Linked DNA regions of Lytechinus pictus. Each later gene encodes a partner of the first gene's protein in a complex. Links are inferred from orthologs where the notes say so. Each region holds a gene or a part of one and is shown in the gene's direction. Other genes may lie near its edges.

What was found. Proteins that work in one complex are often made in the same cells at the same time.
Region 2: vacuolar protein sorting-associated protein 8 homolog (region 1) and transforming growth factor-beta receptor-associated protein 1-like share a complex: the UniProt entries of both Homo sapiens proteins name them as parts of the putative class C core vacuole/endosome tethering (CORVET) complex. The link is inferred for Lytechinus pictus from reciprocal best matches to the Homo sapiens genes VPS8 and TGFBRAP1.

The regions. Positions count from the first base shown.
Region 1 is NC_087245.1:17,277,601-17,288,118, reverse strand, and holds the start of vacuolar protein sorting-associated protein 8 homolog, read left to right. Parts: upstream 1-6,498; 5' UTR 6,499-6,860; intron 6,861-10,518. UniProt on the Homo sapiens protein: Plays a role in vesicle-mediated protein trafficking of the endocytic membrane transport pathway.
Region 2 is NC_087250.1:18,851,593-18,862,127, forward strand, and holds the start of transforming growth factor-beta receptor-associated protein 1-like, read left to right. Parts: upstream 1-6,198; 5' UTR 6,199-6,212; coding exon 6,213-6,356; exon of another isoform or gene 6,357-6,556; intron 6,557-8,027; coding exon 8,028-8,144; intron 8,145-8,602; coding exon 8,603-8,655; intron 8,656-10,535. UniProt on the Homo sapiens protein: Plays a role in the TGF-beta/activin signaling pathway. It associates with inactive heteromeric TGF-beta and activin receptor complexes, mainly through the type II receptor, and is released upon activation of signaling.

The DNA.
Region 1 (10,518 bases):
GCACAAAGCGCGAGCAGAATTTTTTTGATATTTGATCTGCAACTGGATAATGATTTAAATAGAGAACAAGTCGAGTATCTGAATAAACATGCGTGTTTCATATTTAGACCTAGAACACATCTTCTATCATGAAAATCAAAGCGAGCGCGAAGCGCGAGCTTAAACTATTTGATATTCCGATCTGAAAAAGAGTCAATTTCAGCTCTATACTTCAAGCACTTTGTAGGAAAATTGTGAGGTGGATATGGATAGCACGTAATAAAGAGCTGATATTTCTCATAATTATATATTACTTTGAGTTTTAACAAAGGACCGGGACATCCTTAGGACATGCATATGAAAATGATGACTATCTTCCTATTCCTCTTGCTAAGCGCGAGATGAAACAAATGGGAGAATTTAATTATACAATTAAAATCTTATTCATTAATGCCTAATAAGGGCGCAAAATCTGATGATATTATGGCCTGAAAACTGGACATTTCAAGCACTTTTGTAATTATAAATAAGATGCATCAGTTAACATATTTTAACTATCAATGCGAGCGCAAATCGCGAGCCAAAATTTTTGATAAACTGTCATGAAAAGGTGAGGGGATTTAAGTAGTTTGTTATATAATCAATATTGAGACCTGATAATCAGACCTGAAAAGGGATATTTTGAAAACTTTATGGAATACACGAAAATAATAGGTACATGATAAATAGTGTAGTAGGTTTCACGGTACACTATGTATCTTTCTTGGGCAGATGTTGGTCCTGAAAAGGACCACCCAATCTCTTGGTTGGGTGGTCCTTTTCAGGACCAACATCTGCCCAAGAAAGATACATGGTGTACCGTGAAACCTACTACACTATTTTTCTTCGCCATGGAAACGTTCAGAAGTTATACCTGATAAATCAAAATTTGCGAGCGCGCAGCGCGAGCAGATAATGTTAATATTCATACTATAAAAATGATTTTTTTTTTTTTACAGAGCACTTTTTAAAAATCAATTTGTAGATCACACAAAATAATGAAAGTTCGATTTCCGAGGTGAGATATGTTCTGTATATTGACTTCCAAACTTGATATTTAAACTCCATATTGAACAAGATATGGAAATCACCTTACAGGCAATGCGAGCGCGAAGCGCGAGCGAAAATTTTGTAAAGTGACATGAAAGATTCTTTTTTTTTCCAAGTCTTCCCCTCATCTTATTTTATTCACTCGTCTTCCTCCTCTTCTTTTTTCTCCTCTCTTTTCCCTTCCTCCCCCCTTATTTTTCTTTCCTTTTCTTTCTTTTTTTGCTCCTTCATAAGGGGGGGGGGCGGGCCCCTCGGCCCCCACCCCCCAGGATCCACCTATGCTATGGAGTACCATTAAAGTATGTGTATACTTTGGGGTTGTTTTTATGAAGGGTTTTACACTTGGCAATATTCTTTGCCGGTATAATTGGTACTTTATGCTCCTTACTCGCATCATGCTTTTATCAACTACCTACTACGTTTTAAGTTAAGTAAAACATTGCAGTATTATTGTGTCTCCCATGATACATTTCAAGGGTGTTTTCAATATTGAATATTTTTAAAGATTTGTTCTACTAGATTTACGCAAAAACAAATTGATAATGGATTACAAAATTAGACAGAATACAAAAATGATGTATTTACAGACAACAGAACCATTTTTTCTATTATGAATGAGTGTTATTTAAAAAAGTACCAAAAAGGTATGTAAATTTTACTACTCTGATGGTGTCACTGGTCATTTGAAGGTGAAAGGCAGTGAAAATCAAATTTACACCTTTTAGACATGCACTTAGCAAAAAACAACTATTATTTGTTAAATGGTAAAGCTTAAATTTTGAAGCCTTGGGTATCTAATTCTAAGGAATGGCTGATCAGAAAATGACATTCTTCTTAGAATGTGTTTTGTTATTATCTATCTTGATTAATCAATATAAAGCATTATTACCATTAATGTAATCTTAAAGCCTTCTACATGAAATAATTTTTAAAGGCAAAGTTAATCTTTAAAAAAATCAATAATTCTCTTTATTTTCAAAGATTTCTAAAAACGTGACTCGCATGAGAACCCTAAGAAATCTTAATGTGACTCGCGTGACATTTCTGTTCAGGTGGGTGTTTCATAAAGCTGTTCGTAAGTTAAGAGCGACTTTAAGAACGACTGGTGATCCTTTCTTGTGGTGAATGGTATATACACCAAAATGTTAATTGGCGATGGTTCAACTTGTAAGAAAGGTTCACCAGTCGTTCTTAAAGTCGCTCTTAACTTACGAACAGCTTTATGAAACGGCCCCCTGGTGTTTTTTTTTTCATAATGAAGGGGCTTACACATTGAAATTTTTTTTGCTGGAATTATTGAGGTCCTAAGATCCTCAGAAGTAATCAACTACAATTCATACAATCTGCTATACTTTTCAAGCAATGTAAAATATGGACCTATTTTGTGACTCGTGTGATACATTTTTAGGGTGTTTTCAATCTTCAAGTTTGTGTAGCTCATCATATATAAATGTAAAAACAAACTTGATATTGTAGAATGAGTGTAAAATAAGACTTAATGCAAAATAATGAGGTATCTACACACTATAGAACGTTGTTTTAATACTCGGTAAAAAATTATCTTAATAAGTATTTAACACTTAATGTATACAGTGCGTATCAAAAAAAAAATTTCACTTTGAAAAAGCCCTGGGAATTAAAAAATACATGTGGGTAATTTTTTCACATATATTCTTGGGTTTGGGTCTCATCTATCCAATGAAAGTAAAAGATTTGACAGAATATTACACTTGAGTGAGTACTGTCCATTTTTGTAAATCTGTTTGCGCAGAAAAGCTCGTTTTCACACTGTGTCGAGGGGAAAAGGCGAAATCAAACTTACCCTGTGAAACATTTTTCATACATTTCCCTTGCACTTTTAGTCAATTGAAATAAAACGGATACATTCAAGCATTTTGTAACAATTTTGCCACTCAATTTAAAATTTTAACAAATTAATAAGCACAACCTTTACCCTTTTTGTGCCAGCTGGATCTGAGGACATAATTGAATCTAAACAAATGTTTATATCAGACATCTCCAGCATTTTTTCACGTTTTTCAAGTTTTTATTATTTAAAGTGGGTTTACATTTCATTTTTCATTTAATTCTTGTTTCTTCACACTTTTCCCAAGCTTGACAATGATTAACAAAATGAAAATCAAGCCTAAGCCATTTCATGTAAATCACAGCTCAGTGTAAATATCGTCACGATGGCCTCGGTGTGTGGGGGAGTGGGGGGGGGCGCAATGGCACTCTTCGAAGTGTTTTGGGTAAGAAAACAAGTTTAAAAAGGTAAAAAGATATCTTCAAATCAATGTTACTAGCTAAATGTCATGTGTTCTTCATTATTAAGGTCTACTGTTATTCGCATAACTATTTCAAAGTTCTGCGCAAATCATTTTTCACTAACTTTTCAAAAGTAAGTGGTGCTCACCCAAGCGGAAATATTTTTCGACAGTTATATCGTCATTTGCTTAAATGGATCTGTACCCATGTTAACATGTGGAAAAATCTTCAGGATATTACAAATGTATAATTTTACAGGATTTTGTCTCAGTGTAAACTTTTTTTGATACGCACTGTATAAGTAGAATTTATTATTTGAAATTATTTCTCGATTTTTAGGTAGCTTTAACTTGAATTTTAATTCAATTGAATTACTTGATTTATTTGGGTTCATATACATTTATCAAATTTCATGTATCCTTGCTTCGATTAAGTAAATCTAACTCCAATTAGGAAAAGGTGATTATTTCTTCTAAAATCATGATCAGTGTACTTATATTTTTTAATTAACGCCTTATTTAAATAATATTTAATATTCATTGAGATCAAGTAAATGTTAGCATTTCTAAATAAATTTCATATTTTTTTGTGTTTGAAATTGTTCTGTATTAGGGTGTGCAAAATATTTTATTCTTTTGTTTCATCAAAGAAAGAGCACCATTACATAGTCACTCATCAGAAAATTTCAGATGTCTTTTTAGGTTTTCGAAAAATGTATATATTATTCTCACTGTTTTATTTGTAGTTAGGATGAACCGGTCGCGTAATGAATATAAATGTCAGTACCTATCATTTACAGGTAAGTGACAATGTATAAAGTCTAATATTTGGATAAATAAGAGATGTCTAAGATGAAAATGATGCCACTGAAAGCGGGACGATGGGGGAGCGGACTTTCGAATCACGAAAGTCCACTTCCCCATTTTTATTTTCAGTGATTGTGTTACTTTAATAATTAATAAAAAAAACCGCGACGCAGATCAAATAAAAAAAAAGTAAATGTATTGAAAATGCCCGCCAAATAAAACACCTGGGAGGGCTTTGTCGAAAATTGGTGAACAGGAACAGCAGTTTAGCCCTCATTTTCAGAGTGGACGAACAATTGCAAAATGTCGTTTGTGCAAAGTGTAGGGCGATCTGCTGATTTGATTATTAATCTTCGACAAAGAGTTTTTAGTTGTTTTTTTGTCATTAAATCCATTTGACAATACATTTCCATTGAACTTGAAAGCGTTCTGCGTCTCAGTTCGGAAACTTCCTACTTTTTTATCTATTCACATCTTTCTCTATCTTTCTCCAGCCGCCCTTGGATGTTTCTCTCTCTCTCTCCCTCACACACACACACACACACACACACACCCTCACACACACACACACACACACTTTCTTCCTCTCTTGCTTTCTTTCCCCGTCTTATTATTATATTTACTCTTCCTTATTTATATTAAAAGGGGAAAAGAAGGGAAACTGAACGCTAGTTTTTAGAACTGAATCATTTTCGTATAACTTCTTACCTACTATGCCAGCTCCTGACCCTCCTCGTCATCCAATACTATAGTTCAATAATATTCCAACTGTAAGCTATTTCCAGCTACTTCCCTAAACCATGAAATAAAAATAAGAGCTATAGAAATTATTATAGCAATTATTAATATGGTATTAAAGGTACATGAGAAATAAATTCTATATAGCTATAGATGTTGGGTGATCAAAATGCCAAGATTGAAAAGAGCACGATAACCTAACTTTGAAATCATGTTTTCTTTATCATTGTAATAAAAGGGTATAGAGTTACACAACTCTCATCACGTTGCATTTTTATTTTTCTCCCTCTTCTAGCTGTTTTTCTCGTCTCCTTCCCCTTTTTTCTTCACTTTACGAAATAGTTACGTGCACACTAAGAAAAAAAATCGAGTTTGCACCCCTAGTTACAATAACAGCACCCTTTATTACACTGTAAAAATGATGTGCTAATTTGGCACTTACAGTGCTTGTATAGTGACTGCACTACGAGTGCCGATTTTCTAGTTTATAAATTTGAACAAGAAAATCAGCACTCGTAGTGCAGTCACTAAATTAGCACTTCATTTTTTACAGTGTAGGCCATAGGGTGTAAGTTTGCACACTAAAGGGTGTAAAGTGTGTGCACTTGCACCCAATAGGGTGCATATACTGTAAAAAAAAATATTGGTTAAAATTTTACCACCACGAGGGTAATTATGTGTTCAACCAATTTGAGGCAGTATCTTACCCAACGCAGGAAGCATGTTGTCCAGTAAGGTTAAAAAAAACAAGCAGCAATAACTTTAGAATGGGCAAAATTTTCATCACACTGGATATTAATAAAAATGCCCAAAACTTTTGAGAAATGCCAAATGTCGGTTGGACGCAATGATGCTCTGTGGCCAAGTTCTCTTTCAGTCTGCTGCTCTCCCTCTCCCCTCTCTCTCAGTTCCTCTATCTGTCTATTGCCTTCCTCTTTCTCGTAGTGTCTTTGGAAAATGATTTTTTGTTTTTGATCGACATCACGCGTTCGTCCATCTCACATCGCTATTTTTACCATTTAGATGACCATGTCGTCGGTGATCAATCGAACCGTCGCACATGCAGGTACGACATTTCAAACCCATTTCAGAGAAATTTTACTTCAAAGTTTGTTAAAATTCCAACAGTTTGAGTGATTTATGATTTAGTTATACAACCCCCACGTCACATACCCAATATGTCCAAAGCTATCAATACCAAGGAGCGTTCAGCGGTGCCCATGCACCCCCCAAATAAAATGGAAGTTTCAATGTCGAATATTCCTTGCAGACACATATAAATCATTTTGTGAGGGCTGAACGAGGTCACTTTATAATTAAAACATTACAAAATCATAGGATATTGTATAACATAACGAGTACAAGGGGATGATTGTGCGAATGGTGCTGTAAACAGAAATAGGTCTACACTCTAAAAATATATAGTTGGGCAAAAATGTCCAACTTGTAACCAACTTTGGGCAACATACAACTGTCCACACAACTATTGTTAAAAATCTGTCCAAATTGGGTAATAAAAACTTACATAATTGGGTAATGAATTTGTTTAGTTGGATATAAATATATATATTTCTACCAACATACATTATCCAACACAGTGGACAGTATGTTGCCCAACATTCTAAGTGCGTATGGTGAGAGAGGAAAGACAAAACATGAGCTAGACAGGAGAGACAAAATTGCTAGGGGGATATTTCAGAACCTATCAGTTAATGAAACTTGATAATCTAAATTATTTCATCTGTGCCTTGTAGAAATTAAGTAAATTTATTTCGAACAATAAATATGGATTTTTTTGTGGGGGGGATATTAAAAATTATTAAAAAATGACCCGCGCGGCATAAAATGCATGCAGGCTCTATAGCCTAGCTAGGCCGGCAGGAGCTTCGATTGTGGGGCGTAGTCCAGACTCTGCTGCTGTTGTCTGCCGGTTAGCCAAATTTGGACTGATTCTGAGGTCGAGTCTGAGCTGAATTACTTGTAAGTACTGGTATTAAGGATTTTTTTAAAAAGAAGTCTGTGTTGAGTTTTGCTCATAGTTTATGCAAACGTTGTCCACTTTTCAAGGTTTACTTTAATTCATAAAATAGACCAAGGCAAGTGTCCCGAGGAGCAAAATCCAGTCTGCTATGCCCCACCTATTGACTTTGACGTGTGTTGTTGTTTTGTCAGTCGTTTTTTTTCTTTCAATCATGTCTTTCTTTAGTCTCTTCACTTTAAGTGTAGACCAAAAGCTTCAGTCTCTGTATGATTGGGGGACCTAAAGCTACGCACTTTGTTTTCAAACTATAAAAACTATGCCAATTTTAATATTTGAACAAATCATCTTCAAGTTTCACTAGGCCTACCTAATTTTGTAAAATATAGACGTCACTAGACACTAGGCCTAGTTCTAAGTTAGATCTATTATATTCTATAATTCTAAAGATCCTTAACCAAGAAGAAAGTGTTACAAAACTCACTAATAGCATTACGAAAATCCCGCCGTGTTTCGCCGCCCGATTTAGAAGGGGTCCTAAAAAGTTACGCTCTCGATTTATTATGCAAAGAAGTAGTATTTACTGTTCCGAAATTTCTAAAATATGTCTGTGTTATTAATTTAAAGGAAAAAAAGAAATTAGAGTGAATATAGAGCAAAGTGCCCAAATATTGGACACTTAAGCATTATTGGACTAAAACAAAAATACAATTGTTGCATCAAATATAAATCATGTTTATTTCCGTAGTACAAATGTTGAATATTAATGTCATTAAAGAATAGAAATGAAAAAATTATTATGCTAAACAGAAATTATTTACTTACTACCAGAAGTTTGTTTTTTTGCCCAAAATCGGATGCCGTCTCCAAATATTGGACGAGTAGAGTTGTTGGCCGCAATCAATTTCGGCGATTTAAATCGTGCTGTAGACCCCAAAATAATTCAGATTCAGATATTTTCATTGTCCAATTGCAATCATGATTTATAAATGGAAATTCAATTTGTTCGCACAAAATAATTTAGAATATCACATGATACACACAAAAGATTACACGATGAATAAAGTATATATTATACAAATCAATAAGCAAAGATAAGAGAAATTAAGATAAAGGCAGGAACGGGGGGGGGGGGGGGATAACATAATTTCAAGTATGGCTATTAAATTGCTGACTTGTTGATAAAATGATTTATTTTAGCTGCGCAAATGCCAATTTTGATTATTACTATAAATAACTTTGATATAGAATTCGGTAAATAATGATAATTTACTTACCCAACGGACCTCTTTCGGCTCTTTGCTCAGCTGCACGCGACTTCGTTCTTGAAACCTGCGCGCGCGTTAACAGCACGCATTTCCAATTCAATCGGCCGATATGTCCGATGTTTGAGATAGTGCCATATTTCTTCTTTGCAGATTTTTTTGCGATAGATCGAACATGTGCGATCTCGCAGCGGCGATGTTTCTGACGAAAGTCACTTCTCCCTTACGAGATTTTTTTGGTCATCGATCTTTTGGAGTCCATAATTAGCGAGGGTCGTAAGAATCTCTGGAAGTCAAAATTATGGATTTTACCGCTGGATTTAACCCCTGGAATTTTTTTTTTTGAGCAGCAACTTGGATCTACTGTGTGTGCAGCTCAATAGCATGTATGTTCATGTATTCTTATGCATGCAAGTCCCCTGCCAGTTCGGGTCCCTGTAGTTACAGTGAAGGGAGTTCAAGTCATTTTTGGAACCGTCCGATGTTTGAGGGTTTTACTCCACCTCCAAAATTCCAAAAAATTGTTGGTTTTCTCTGCATTCAAGGATTTATTGCAGCCTCTGAAAGCACTCTGTAGAAATATTGAATAGGGATCGTTCGTCACTCTATACAGTCACAGCTTAAGCTTCACACACAGAGCTAGAGTGAGCATTTATTTGCCATTGAAATTGCATGCGCAATGGAGTAGTGCGTAGCTTTAGAACCCCCTACCATACAACTGATTGTTCCACTGACTTTCGCTGGCTATACTCACCAGTTGATCTTCATACTTTGTAGACTGAATTCTCGTACAATTGTACATGTAGGCCTAGGCCCATGCAGACTCGACATAAATCCGCTGTTTCGGAGGAGTTTTTCAACATTTTTTTTCCTCCTACACAGACGGATGGATGATGGCCATTGCACTCGTAATGGTGGAGTTTCAACGACGCCTTAACTACAACGACTATGGAGAAAAGGGTTCACTTTTGCAACCTCCTCGATTACTCCTAAATTTTGCTTTAATTTTAACAAGGGAAAAGAGGAAGAAATAAAATAAATTTATATTGAATACAATCAGCTTACCACTGCCCACCTTTTTGAAAAATATGCTGGAAAATTTGATGACAAACACATCAGGATCAGGGGATTAGCTGGCACGTTTGTATGCTCACCTGTAGCTGCGCTGATGGTGATCGAGCGATCATAGAAGAACCTTGCTGATCCTGATCTGTTCGTCATCAGAATTCGCTATTTTCCATCATATTTTTCAGAAAGGTGGTAAGCTGAATGTATTTAATATAAATCTATCTTTATTTCTTCTCCTTTTCCCCGTCAAAAAGCAAAATTTAGGAGGATGCGTCAGCACACCCTTTTCTTCATAAACGCTGTACATGTAGTTAAGGCATCGGTGGAGCTCCACCACTTCGAGCCCAATGGCCCTCATCATTCTATTGACGGAGGGGATGCCGTGGAGCCAGACGAAGTCTCAGCGGAGCATATCCCTGACAGAAATAGACCTATTTATCGGTCTAGTCCATGCCATGCCCATGCAGATAGTGAGAACTAAAAATGTTTAGGTTGTGTTTTAGTGTGAAAAAGTTAGACACCACTTTCATAGTGCAGTGCAACCACCCTGTCTCACTCTATGGGACATTGGGATCTCAATAAGGTTGAAAAAGCTGACAGAGTAGTCAGACTTTCAGTTTCAAGCATCAGCATTGACCAGCATAAAATCAATCCACAGATATTTAGACCTAGATCAATTCAAAACCTTTGATGTATAATATGGTATCTACATTGATATATCCGCTGTTTTGGAGGAGTTTTTTTTTTATTTAAAAAATTTTTGGTCCTCCTTTTACTCAGACAGATGTTGGCCATAGCCATAGGGCTCGTAATGGTGGAGTTTCGACCGACGCTTAACTTCAGCATCTAAAGAGAAGAGGATGAGCTACCACACCAATTACTCCTAATTCCCTCCCCCCCTTTGACGGAGAAAAAACATGTAAATGAAAATCAACATTTTAACATAATTATGTGATGTAAATTTAATGATTGTTGCAAAGAGCCGGTCTCGGGTTCCATCGATTGTTCTTCGTCATGTTTGTATCGCAGCTTGAGCATGCGAATGCACCAGCCAATCATGTTCATGCCCTATTCATCATGGTAACACGCTTTGTTTTCTCCATCAGATGGAGGGATTAAAGAAAAATCAAAGAGGGTGTGGTAGTGCACCCTTTTCTACATAGACGCTGCAGTTAAGAGTCGTGCAAAGCATTGGCACTACAAGTTCTATGGGAGAATTCGGTCTATTGACAAAGGGGATGCCAAGGAGCCAGATGAAGTCTCAGTGGAGCAAATATCCCGGACAGAAATGGACTAATTATTTTTTTAATTACTCCATTATGAGGAA
Region 2 (10,535 bases), on another chromosome or scaffold:
TGGAATGTTCATGTTATATGTTGTACATGGCATTATCTTTTTGAAATTTACCCGTCACTGCAACTATTATTAAGCGCATTGGCTGTACCCAGTTTATTTTACCCCATTTTGAGTATCGATCACTGATTTATTTATTTATTCATTTATTTATTTATTCATTTATTTATTTATTCATCTATTTTAGTTTATCTATTTAGTCATTTTTTATTTTTTTTATTCATTCAGGCTCATGATGTAAAATAGTTGGAGAATACAAGCGAAATGATAATCAGAATATCAAAAAGAACCCCCAAAAAAGAGAGAATTAGGAATGGAAAAGAAAATGGTGCACTTTGATAAATATTTTGAAATATCATGTAAAAATGACCGGAAATGACCAAGGTTAGATTGTAAAATTCGCGCTTGGCTTACTTGTAGCTTTAAAAAGATTTCGCCCTCTCCGCCATGTCTGGCCCTAAAAATATTGAGACCCACTAAAGGCGTACCCCCCCCCCCGAAAAAAAAAATATTTTGTATCAGTCATCCCCCAAAACCATGAACACAGATCGTCACCCACGGAATTGAGAATTAATGCATGACGAAGGCGAGAAAAGAAGAAGGGAGAATGAAAAAAGAGATAAAAAGAGATTTTGATGATTTTCAATTACATAATCAATGGCATTTGTTGATTGGACCTGAAAAACACACAAATGCGCATGCACACCCGGCGATCTACATTATTTACTTGGACTGAAGACAAAATTAATGAACTCGGTGATATATATAAATATATAAGTTTGCGTTTCAAAAATACGTTTGTGCTGGATCGAAATACATTACTCCTTCGAAAATGTGAAGGCTTAAACTATGATTTTCAAGAGACCAATTAGCACGGAACATCACCGTCTTGCATGTCTCTTCGATCATCGTACAGATGTTAAAATATTCATGACTTACTTCTGTCGGGGGTAGGGACACTAATTGATTGAGGGGACTAAACTATTTTCACTGCAAGGACGCGAGTGCTGTTGTGGGTTTGGGGTCCTGGACCTTGTGGTTCAAATTCTGGAGACTCTTTCACTGAGGCACAACACCTCTAAATAAAACCTACATGGCTATAACAAGAAACGTAGCAAGTACACAGCAGCGTTTTTTTTGTCGAGCGAATTAGGAATCGTCCAGGGCACTAGCGTACCTACAGGGGGGCAGGGGGGGCACTCTGCCCCCCCCCCTGACGAGCCACAACCCATACAAAATACATATCACTGCCCCCCTGACGAGCTTGAAAGACCTTTTATGCCCCCACCCCCTTACGAGCTTGAAGACCTTTATTGCCCCCCTGACGAGCTTGAAGCCCTTTTTTTTTTTTTTTTTTTTTTTTTTTTTTTTTTTTTTTTTTTTTGCTTGTCATTTTTTTTTCTGGTACAATAACCTTTATTTTTGATTGAAGACCTTTTTTTTTTTATTTTTTTTTTTTTTGCTTGTCAATTTTTTGGGCGGTCGATTTTGCCCCCCCTGTGGAAAATCCTAGGTACGCCACTGGTCCAGGGCCATATACCCATGCAGGATCAAAACTTGCTTGAGCAACAATTGCTTAACGGAGATTTATCACTTTTTTTATTTTTCCAGGGTATCATTAGAACCCTGATCATGGCAATGTCAACTCTGTTCCAAACTCCTCTCAAAGCCCAGCTGAATCGACCTCATGGTGTTGTGCTGCACAAGGACAACTATGTCGTGGCGGATACGTATAACAACCGTGTAGTTGCTATCAACCCAAGTAATTCATTTTGGACAGTCCTCTGCTCCCAGAAGAACTTTCTACCTTACGGCATCCTTGCTTTGTCAGAAGTTGATGACAATTTTCTAATAACGGATATGGGTAAGCAGAGCAAAGGATGCGTGTACGAGTTGAAAAATGGGAAGCTAACTCAATGGACCAAAGGTTATGCAAAATTCACGAACCCAACTGGCATTGCAAAGCGAGATGGAAAGGTGTACGTAGCAGATTGGGGGATGAATTGTATTCATGTTTTCGACATGAACGGGAAGTTTGCCCACAAGATAGGAGAAGGTAACTTAGACAGTCCATGGTTCATTGCATTCAACTCAAAGAATCGCCTATATGTTGCAGATTTTAAGGCTATTCGTATCTTTAATCAAGATGGTAAATTTAAAGAGCGCGTAACAATCCCGACTTCAAAACTGTCTTGGCATTACCGAGGCATTGCCATTGACAAGGATGACAACATCTTCATCACTGCTCGCGCCGATACTTCTCGTCTACTTTACACGGATGAGACAGTGACGGTGTTGGATAAAGACCACAAACCGATTGGAGATGTCACTCGAGGATGGTGGACTTTCAACTACTTGAGAGGACTTTGTGTTGATAGGAAGAACAACGCAGTTGTAGTGGTTGATGGCGAATGGCACAGGATTCAATTGATCTCATACAATGTGCTTATGGAAAATTCAGCGTAGGGAGTTTATTGCTATTTCACATCACAGTATTGGTGTCCTTTTATTCCGGATATATATACCCTATTTCCACAAAGCTTACACAATGAGATCACTAGATGCTGTTTCTTATTCGGACATGTATATTATACCGGATATTATACTATTGTATTGTATTACCAGTTATACTATTGTATTGTATTGTATTGTATTACCAGTATTGTATTACCAGTTGTGAGAATTATGTTTTCTGTTCGCAATTGTCTGCTTCCTTCGCCTTTTTATCTTTCTATGTCTTGTATAGCTCTGGCTACCCTTTCTTATTCCTACTCTTTATTCCCCCTGCTCTCTCACACTATCTCTTCAGACTCCACCTTGTTTTCCTGACTACCACACCCTCTCTCTTCTATTAATTTTCTCCCGACTCTCTTTCTCGGCCATTCTTTTGTTTTCCCCTCTCTATTTATTTTTATATTGTAAGTGCACATTCCCTTGATACTTTTTAATATTTAATTATAATACGTATTTGGAATTTGTTACAGGCCACCTATCGTGTAAACATTGTTACTACAATTCAGAATTTCTGCTATCGTAATAATGTTTTGTAATTTAGTAATTTTATATAGTACTCTGTAAATCATTTTGTATCTGCTTGCTTGAGTTACGATGAATAAGTACCATTATTATTATAGGATGCCATTAAAGTAAATTCAAATTTCGTAGAATTCAGACTGAATCTTCTGAAGGTACATTTTCAATCTTTAAAATGAGAAGAGATAAAACGAAATGAAATTAAAGTGTGCTAATCCTGACAAGCTACACCAACATGATAATTTGCTATTTCGACTATTAAAAAAAAAATCATATGAAATATCAAATTCCTTTTAATTAACGCGAGACGGACTACACCTAGCCCTCATACCACCCTTTCACAAGGTAAAAACAATCGTAATTTGAATGATGATTCCAGTGAAAAAAATAAGGCTAATGACGAATATTTAGCACGTGTGAAATCAAACTAGAACCTAATATTAGAATCACGAACGATAATCAAAGTCACGACTGCAATTGCAATCATTATTGCATTGATGATTCAAGATTCGCGTGTGGAAACGCCCTTACTTTATTTGAGCTTTTTGTGTATTGGATTTCGTCTTCGGTGAATTCTTTTGAATTTTGGGGACTTGACGCAATAATAGGTCTGCTGTTGAATCAACCATGTCATGGTGTACTGTATCAGAATTTGGTTAAGATTGAAATTTTTAATGGCCGGCCACAACATCCACGAACATAATTTCGCCGTTTTTACCAATCCTCATTAAAATTGTTTGAATTATAAAGGTTTTCCCGTCCAATTTCATCAGAAATGCATTTAAATTAGTAAAAGGACGTTCAAATTCGAAAGATTTTTGTCCACCCTCTGCACACATGGTTCAATTTTAATTTATACAGCATTCAATTCCATTTTATATCATTCCTTTGAATTTGTAGAAATTCAATTTAGAGAGAGATTCGTTCAAATTAATGGCCCAAAGTTGTCATTGAATTTCGCTACGACGGGCTGATCGATCGTTTAATTTCGCCTTAAATACTATTTTCAATTTCGTTTATCGGGACACATATTTGCACTTTAAACGTCCAAATTCAGATAACATGTTCGTGTTCATTTTTTATTACTTTATACAATATTTGTTCAAACTTTATCTTTTCTTTCTATTTTTTCTGATCTTTTTAGTTAGATTCATTTTATTCCATTATCTTTGATAAAGACGTAATTCATGTAACACTTATAGGATATATGGGTGTAAACGGTTATTCTTCTTTTTTTTACATAATTATGATTTATATTGTGTTGGGAAAGGGATGAGAAACATGGTATTGAACATCCAATTTCAAAGTAATCCCATTTCCATATTTATTCAAAAGACGTAAAAAAAACACCTACGAAAAACACTGTCCATGTCCTATAAGTAATTGCATATTTATGATTTTGAATTCCTAAACGTTCGCAAGGAGGGTACCGGTGATAATTTGAAAACACTTTTTCAGCTATTTCAATTTGATCGTTCTTTATACATGTTTAAATAATAAACAAAATTAAATTTAATTAAGCATTTGACCCTTTAAATGTTGATCTTATACATGTTATATTTAATATAACATGTATAAGATCAACATTTAAAGGGTCAAATGCTTAATTAAATTAAGTCTTTCAAATTAGTTGCAAATTGAATTATTACATCATTAAATTGGTTGATTTTTACAAAATTCGACGGGAAAACCTATATTATATCCCTTATTCAAAACGGAATAAATAAATCAAATCAATCAATCAATGGCACAATATTGATATCCGATAACGAATGTGGCACTTCAACATACCGTCAGGTGAAACCCTGCCCTAAGTATATAAAACGACTAATTATAAATTTGACAAAAATTATTCCTCGCAAATTTTGATTATGTATAGCAGATTGTATACTCAGTGGATTGTTATATCCATTCTGCTTAAAGTATTCTTGTTTCCCCCATTATCATGTACTGTTAAGCTATTAAAGACCCTATTCTCGCACAGCAATTTTGTTGTCCCCTGCTAATATAACGTGATTTGATTTAATAGAGAGAGTGAGTGAGTCAGAGAGAAATGGAAAGAGAGGGGGAGCAAGGAGAGAGAGAGAAAAAAAGGGAGGGGAGAGAGGGAGGGAGAGAGAGGGGGTAGAGATTTTCTTTTATCGCCAACTCGATCTTCACCCGTCCACTCATCACAGAATCTATCTTCTTTTCGTCTATACCGTCCATCAGGAATTTTGTCTAACAACCATTTTGTCCCAATCACTTCGTCTAAACACCAGTTCGACTGTATGACCATGTCGTCTCAAATCTAGCTGGTCTAATGCAGGGGCGACGGAATGGTTTTGAGAGTGGGGGTGGGGGGGGGGGGGGGGGCTTGGGAAGGCTGACCATGCAAAAAATCACTATCAGATGGTAATTTTTACGTTTTTGTACACGATTTTGGAGAAAAAAGGTGGGGTTGAAGCCCCATAGCCCGCGGCCCCTGTAATATCCAATATTTGGAAAGTTTTTAAACAACAATGAGTGCCATTGCAAGGATATTCCATTCTAAATCCCGATTTTTCTTTTTAAAATAGGAAATATGCAAATGAGGTAAACCACGTGATCAGCATCATCAGATTACTGGTCTTGACCAGTTTAATTTCAAACAATGAATTACTTTAGACCAGTTGACTATAACAGAGGAAAATATCTTGCTTTGATCTTAATCATAATTAAAGGAAATAATTATTTTAATGATAATGTTAATACTTGATAATTATGATAATATTAATAATAATTATTACAATATCGATAACAATGATAACAGTAATAAGAATTATGACAACAATGATCATAATAATAATCATTATGATAATTATAAGAAGAATGATGATAAAAATGATAACGATAATAACTTTCTCTGAATTGCAAGATTCATTTTCCATAATTCGTCAAATGATCTGACTTGAAATAAAGTAATTATTTATTGGACCAGTAATACCAGTTTGATGAAAAACAATTTAACTGGTATTACTACTTTGCTTCAACTGGAATGCAATTGTTTGAACTGGTCTCCAGTTGATTTTTACTGGTCCAGTTAAAAATCAACTGGCCCAGTAAAAATATACTGGAAACCAGTAAAATTCTACTGGAAACCAGTAAAAATTCTTAATGGTCTTACTGGTTTTTCCTTCTGGGAATCAATGCGTCAACTCTTGATGTTTTGTGTGTCGTCCTCTCCGATCGTGACCGGTATAGTCTCAAAATTCTGTCGTAAATTCACCGAATCAAAATCCCGGACGTCGACCCTCGGAGTCTTGCTCCCAATTTATGATACAAACCAGGCCTTAGGCTTAGAACATGTGAGTCTCATGTTCTTATAATATTGTTTTCTGTCATTAAGAACACTCACGGAGGTAATTTCATGCACCCAATTTTGAAAGTTGTTTGGTTCTGTTGTCTTCGGCCCCATGCATCCAATTTTGCGTGGGTAAAATCACTAAAAACCAAAGTGGGCGTTGTGAATTGTTTTGTCTGCGGGCTCGACTACTAACTCAGTACGGTAAGTTACTCTGTCTCTGGACTGAAGTCTCTGTATCCATATTTACACACAGGGTGAAATCGGTTTATAGGTGTGAATTTTTTTGATATTTGAACCTTCAAATGCGTATGAACTTAAGTTAAGGGATAAAATTATTAAATATTGGCCAAATCGTGGTTTCGGGAACCACTCGTACTTGTCGATTTGTATACGCGCACTTGTGTGCAAAGACAAAGTGAATGGAGGTGGAAATAGGGAACCGTGCATGTGACTGAATAAAGCACTGCTGTATGAAGTGAACGGTGGTTCCCAATATCACGATAATGCCAAATTATTTCACTTAATGGCAAAAATGAGAGGTTTTTTACGTACCAGACTGATCTCGTGTAGATCCTTCAATCCGTTTGTCAACAAAGACAAAAAAAAAAAGGGTCAAAGTACGGTATGTTGCAAAAAAAATAAATCTCAGAAATAAGGTGTTTTCTTCATGGCATTATTTAGAGCTCATCAACTTCAACTTCAATTAAAACATCCTTCCCAAGACCTTTAGTTTAAATAATCTAACACCTCATTTATCTCAATAGCCCCAGAAATAAGAAAGTTATTGTAGTTTTAAGGTCGTATAAATCGCCTATTCAATTCTTATGTATTCCTTTGTTTTTTAAGCCAAAAGTTGTGATCTTAATTGGGACCAAGGTACACTAAGTAATAGAAAACACCAATGGCAATGCGCATACATTGGCATATGGAAATGCCCAACAACACTCTCAAAAATTACAGAAGCCGCCGAAACAGGGACTTAAAAAACACACTTAGCGTCAGTTGATTTCATTCAAATTTCACCACAATATAGTTAAAATGTTGCTCTATCGGAATGAATGTACCTTTTAAATTGGGATGATACCTGTAAATATGAATAGCAAGACTCAGAGGTTGAAAGCAAGGCCAAAGTTCCAGTAGCACACAGAGTCGCAAGATCACCGAGTGAGAGTTTTTTTCAAGTCTAGACAGCTGCCATAAACATTCAACTACGTAAAAACAATGATGTCATGGGGAATAACCTTTCCATGCACATGCAAACACAATACAAAGCAATGCCCCCACAGTCACCCTGAGATTATAGGCAGCACACTCAATGCTTCATTCAGAATGCACCTAGAGGGCGCTTTTGCAACACACCTACACAAAGTACGGTGACAAAGCAAATACAATAGGTCTGACCTGTGAACCGCTTCGTTATGACGTACATCCGATTAGCGATGCCGTTTTGAAGAACAATTGATGGATAAAAATTATTATTTCATAAATTGTGAAATAATCAAGTTTCAAATTTTATTATAAAACCGATCTGCCCAGATTTGACAGTTGCCTTGAGGGTAATGCGGGTGCGAATGAATGGCTACTGCAACTTGCACATGTAGGTTTTTTTATGTAACTTGCTATGGTGGGTCTCTAGATATGTTTATCGTTTTTCTGGACTTGTTTATTATAGAAAAATTACCACGACATCATATCACAAGGCACTTCAAGGATGAGTGTGAAAGCTTTTGAACTGGTTCCAGCCGTAGAGAGGTTGAAGCTACTTGGGGAGAGAACAAGCAAAACTTCAGTAAGTTCAACTTACTTTTACTTTGATGTAGATGTCATGTTTGTATGTTCCTGAAGATAGCAGAGACTTGAAAGAATAGCAAATATTTTTTGTTTTCTTCGATCGATTAAATATCATTTTCATAATGATTTGAGCCTTCTGAAGGAAAAATTTTGCTTTCTCGTACAAAAAGAACTTCTGCTACACAAAGGACTTTTTGTGTAGCAGTCTATAAAGAATTTGGACTAGATTGCAATGTGATAACCAGGAAAATTATATTTCATATCCTTACTTAAATTGAGCCAGCAGTAGGATATATGAGGAGATATTTTTAGAAAAAAAGGGGAAACAAAGAAGGAGGGTAGAATAGTTGAAGAAGTTAGAGGTAGGAACAAGACAAACTGGAGGGAAATGAGAGAACAAATTTTTTTATTTTGTTTTGTCTTGTCCTCCTTTTGTCTCATCTTTCTTTCCTATAGATTGAATGTATAGAATGCTGTGGAAAGAATCTCTACATTGGGACAAGTGACTGGTAAGATTATACAATTATTTGTGGGTGGGTTCAATAATAATAATGATAATAATAATTATAATACACATGTATATGGGATTTGTAATGCGCCAAATCCACTCGGCAGAGTGCCCAAGGCGCAGGGAAAGAAAGAATGAAAGAAAAACTTACAAATATATTATTGATAGATTCAGGAACAATTAAGAATAGGAAGCATTGAATAGACGTGTCTTAAGGTAATGTTTAAATGTGTCAGTGGAAGTGCATTCACGGATAACCAGGGGAAGATCATTCACGAGAACAGGGACAGCGTGAGCAAAAGCCCAAACCCCCCATGTCTTAACGGATTTGGGAATAACTACATGTAGGTAACCAGAGATGGATGAACGTAGGGACCTGACAGTGTATTTGTTAATTAGATTAATATTGTACTGTGGAGCAGAACCGTTAATTGCATGTAATACAAGGAGAAGAATTTTGAAGATGATGCGATCATGATCGCGAATGGATGTGATAAGAACACTTGTGTTACTCCTGACACTTCCTATCATTACCCTGGTGTAGCATACATCGTGGTAGGACATGTGTCGATCTCTCCTTTTACATCATTTTGCCAACTCCAGTTTGTTATGCATACTATGAAAAAAAGGAGTGCAGAATGCTGAATATCAAAAGCACCCAGGTGCATCACAGTTTATTTCAAGTCAATATTAAAAAAGAGATCTTGTCTGTCTAGTGAGGATTAGGATTTATTTTGTTTTTCATTCAGTTTTGGTATATCCAGTTTGCTTTTTGGGAAATCTTACAACAAACACAATGGGCTCATGCATGTATATCATTACTCATGTTTAATTGAATTTATACAAGAGATGGGACTCGGTTTGATCTTGTATTCATATATACAATTGGACAGTGGAAAGGTTATTTGATGTTAAACAAAGAGAAGGAGAGGAAGACAATATGTGAAAGACATCATTTAATTCCATAGGTCCGTATTCTGAAGTCGGGTGTAACTTAAACTCGGGTTTAAAGTTGTGGTTTAAGTATGGATAGCCAATTGTTACATAAATCACTAACAGTAGAGATATAATATTTCACCTCATTTGGCTCTCAAATCATTCATAATTGTGTAGAAAGTATGAATAGATGATTGTCTTCACCATCGATGAATCAGGAAAGAGCACAGTAAACATAAGAAACATACAACTTAAGAAAAATTTTGACACTTTTGGCTTCCCATAATTTTAGCACAGAGTTTAATGGTCTAAGTTAAACCTGACTTCAGAATAAGGGCCATAGTGGCTAGTAATAACAACTACAAACTACAATTTGCCAAAGACAGATGGAGATGGAAATGATTGCCATCATAATGATTATTGTGGTAACAAAGCAACAAATGCAGGGAAAAATATCCTGTCTGACAGTGGCGTACCGTGGGTCACGGCATTGGGGGGGCACCAGAAATTTTTTTAGTCACTTAGTGAGCGCGCGAAGCGCGCTCAGTTGCCAGATAAACTGACCTAATATAGACATTTTAAGGACAGTGCCATTAAACGGATATGTATTTCACTGACCGCATAATGCGAGCGCGAGCTGAATTTGTTTTTATATTCAGACCTAAAAAGGGACATTATAAGCAAATTTTTGTAATCATGATACATATCTATCTCACTAAACAAACAATGCGAGCGCGAAGCGCGAGCTGAAATTTTTGTATACATTGACCCCAAACAGGGACATTTTGAGGACTACATTTCAGGAATCCATTAAGAGCATACATATCTCACCATAGTCATCTAATGCGAGTGCCAAGCGCTTGCTGATTTTGTTACAATTATATACATCTAAACAGATGAAACACTTTTAGTCATTGTAATCATGATTATCACACGCATCACACT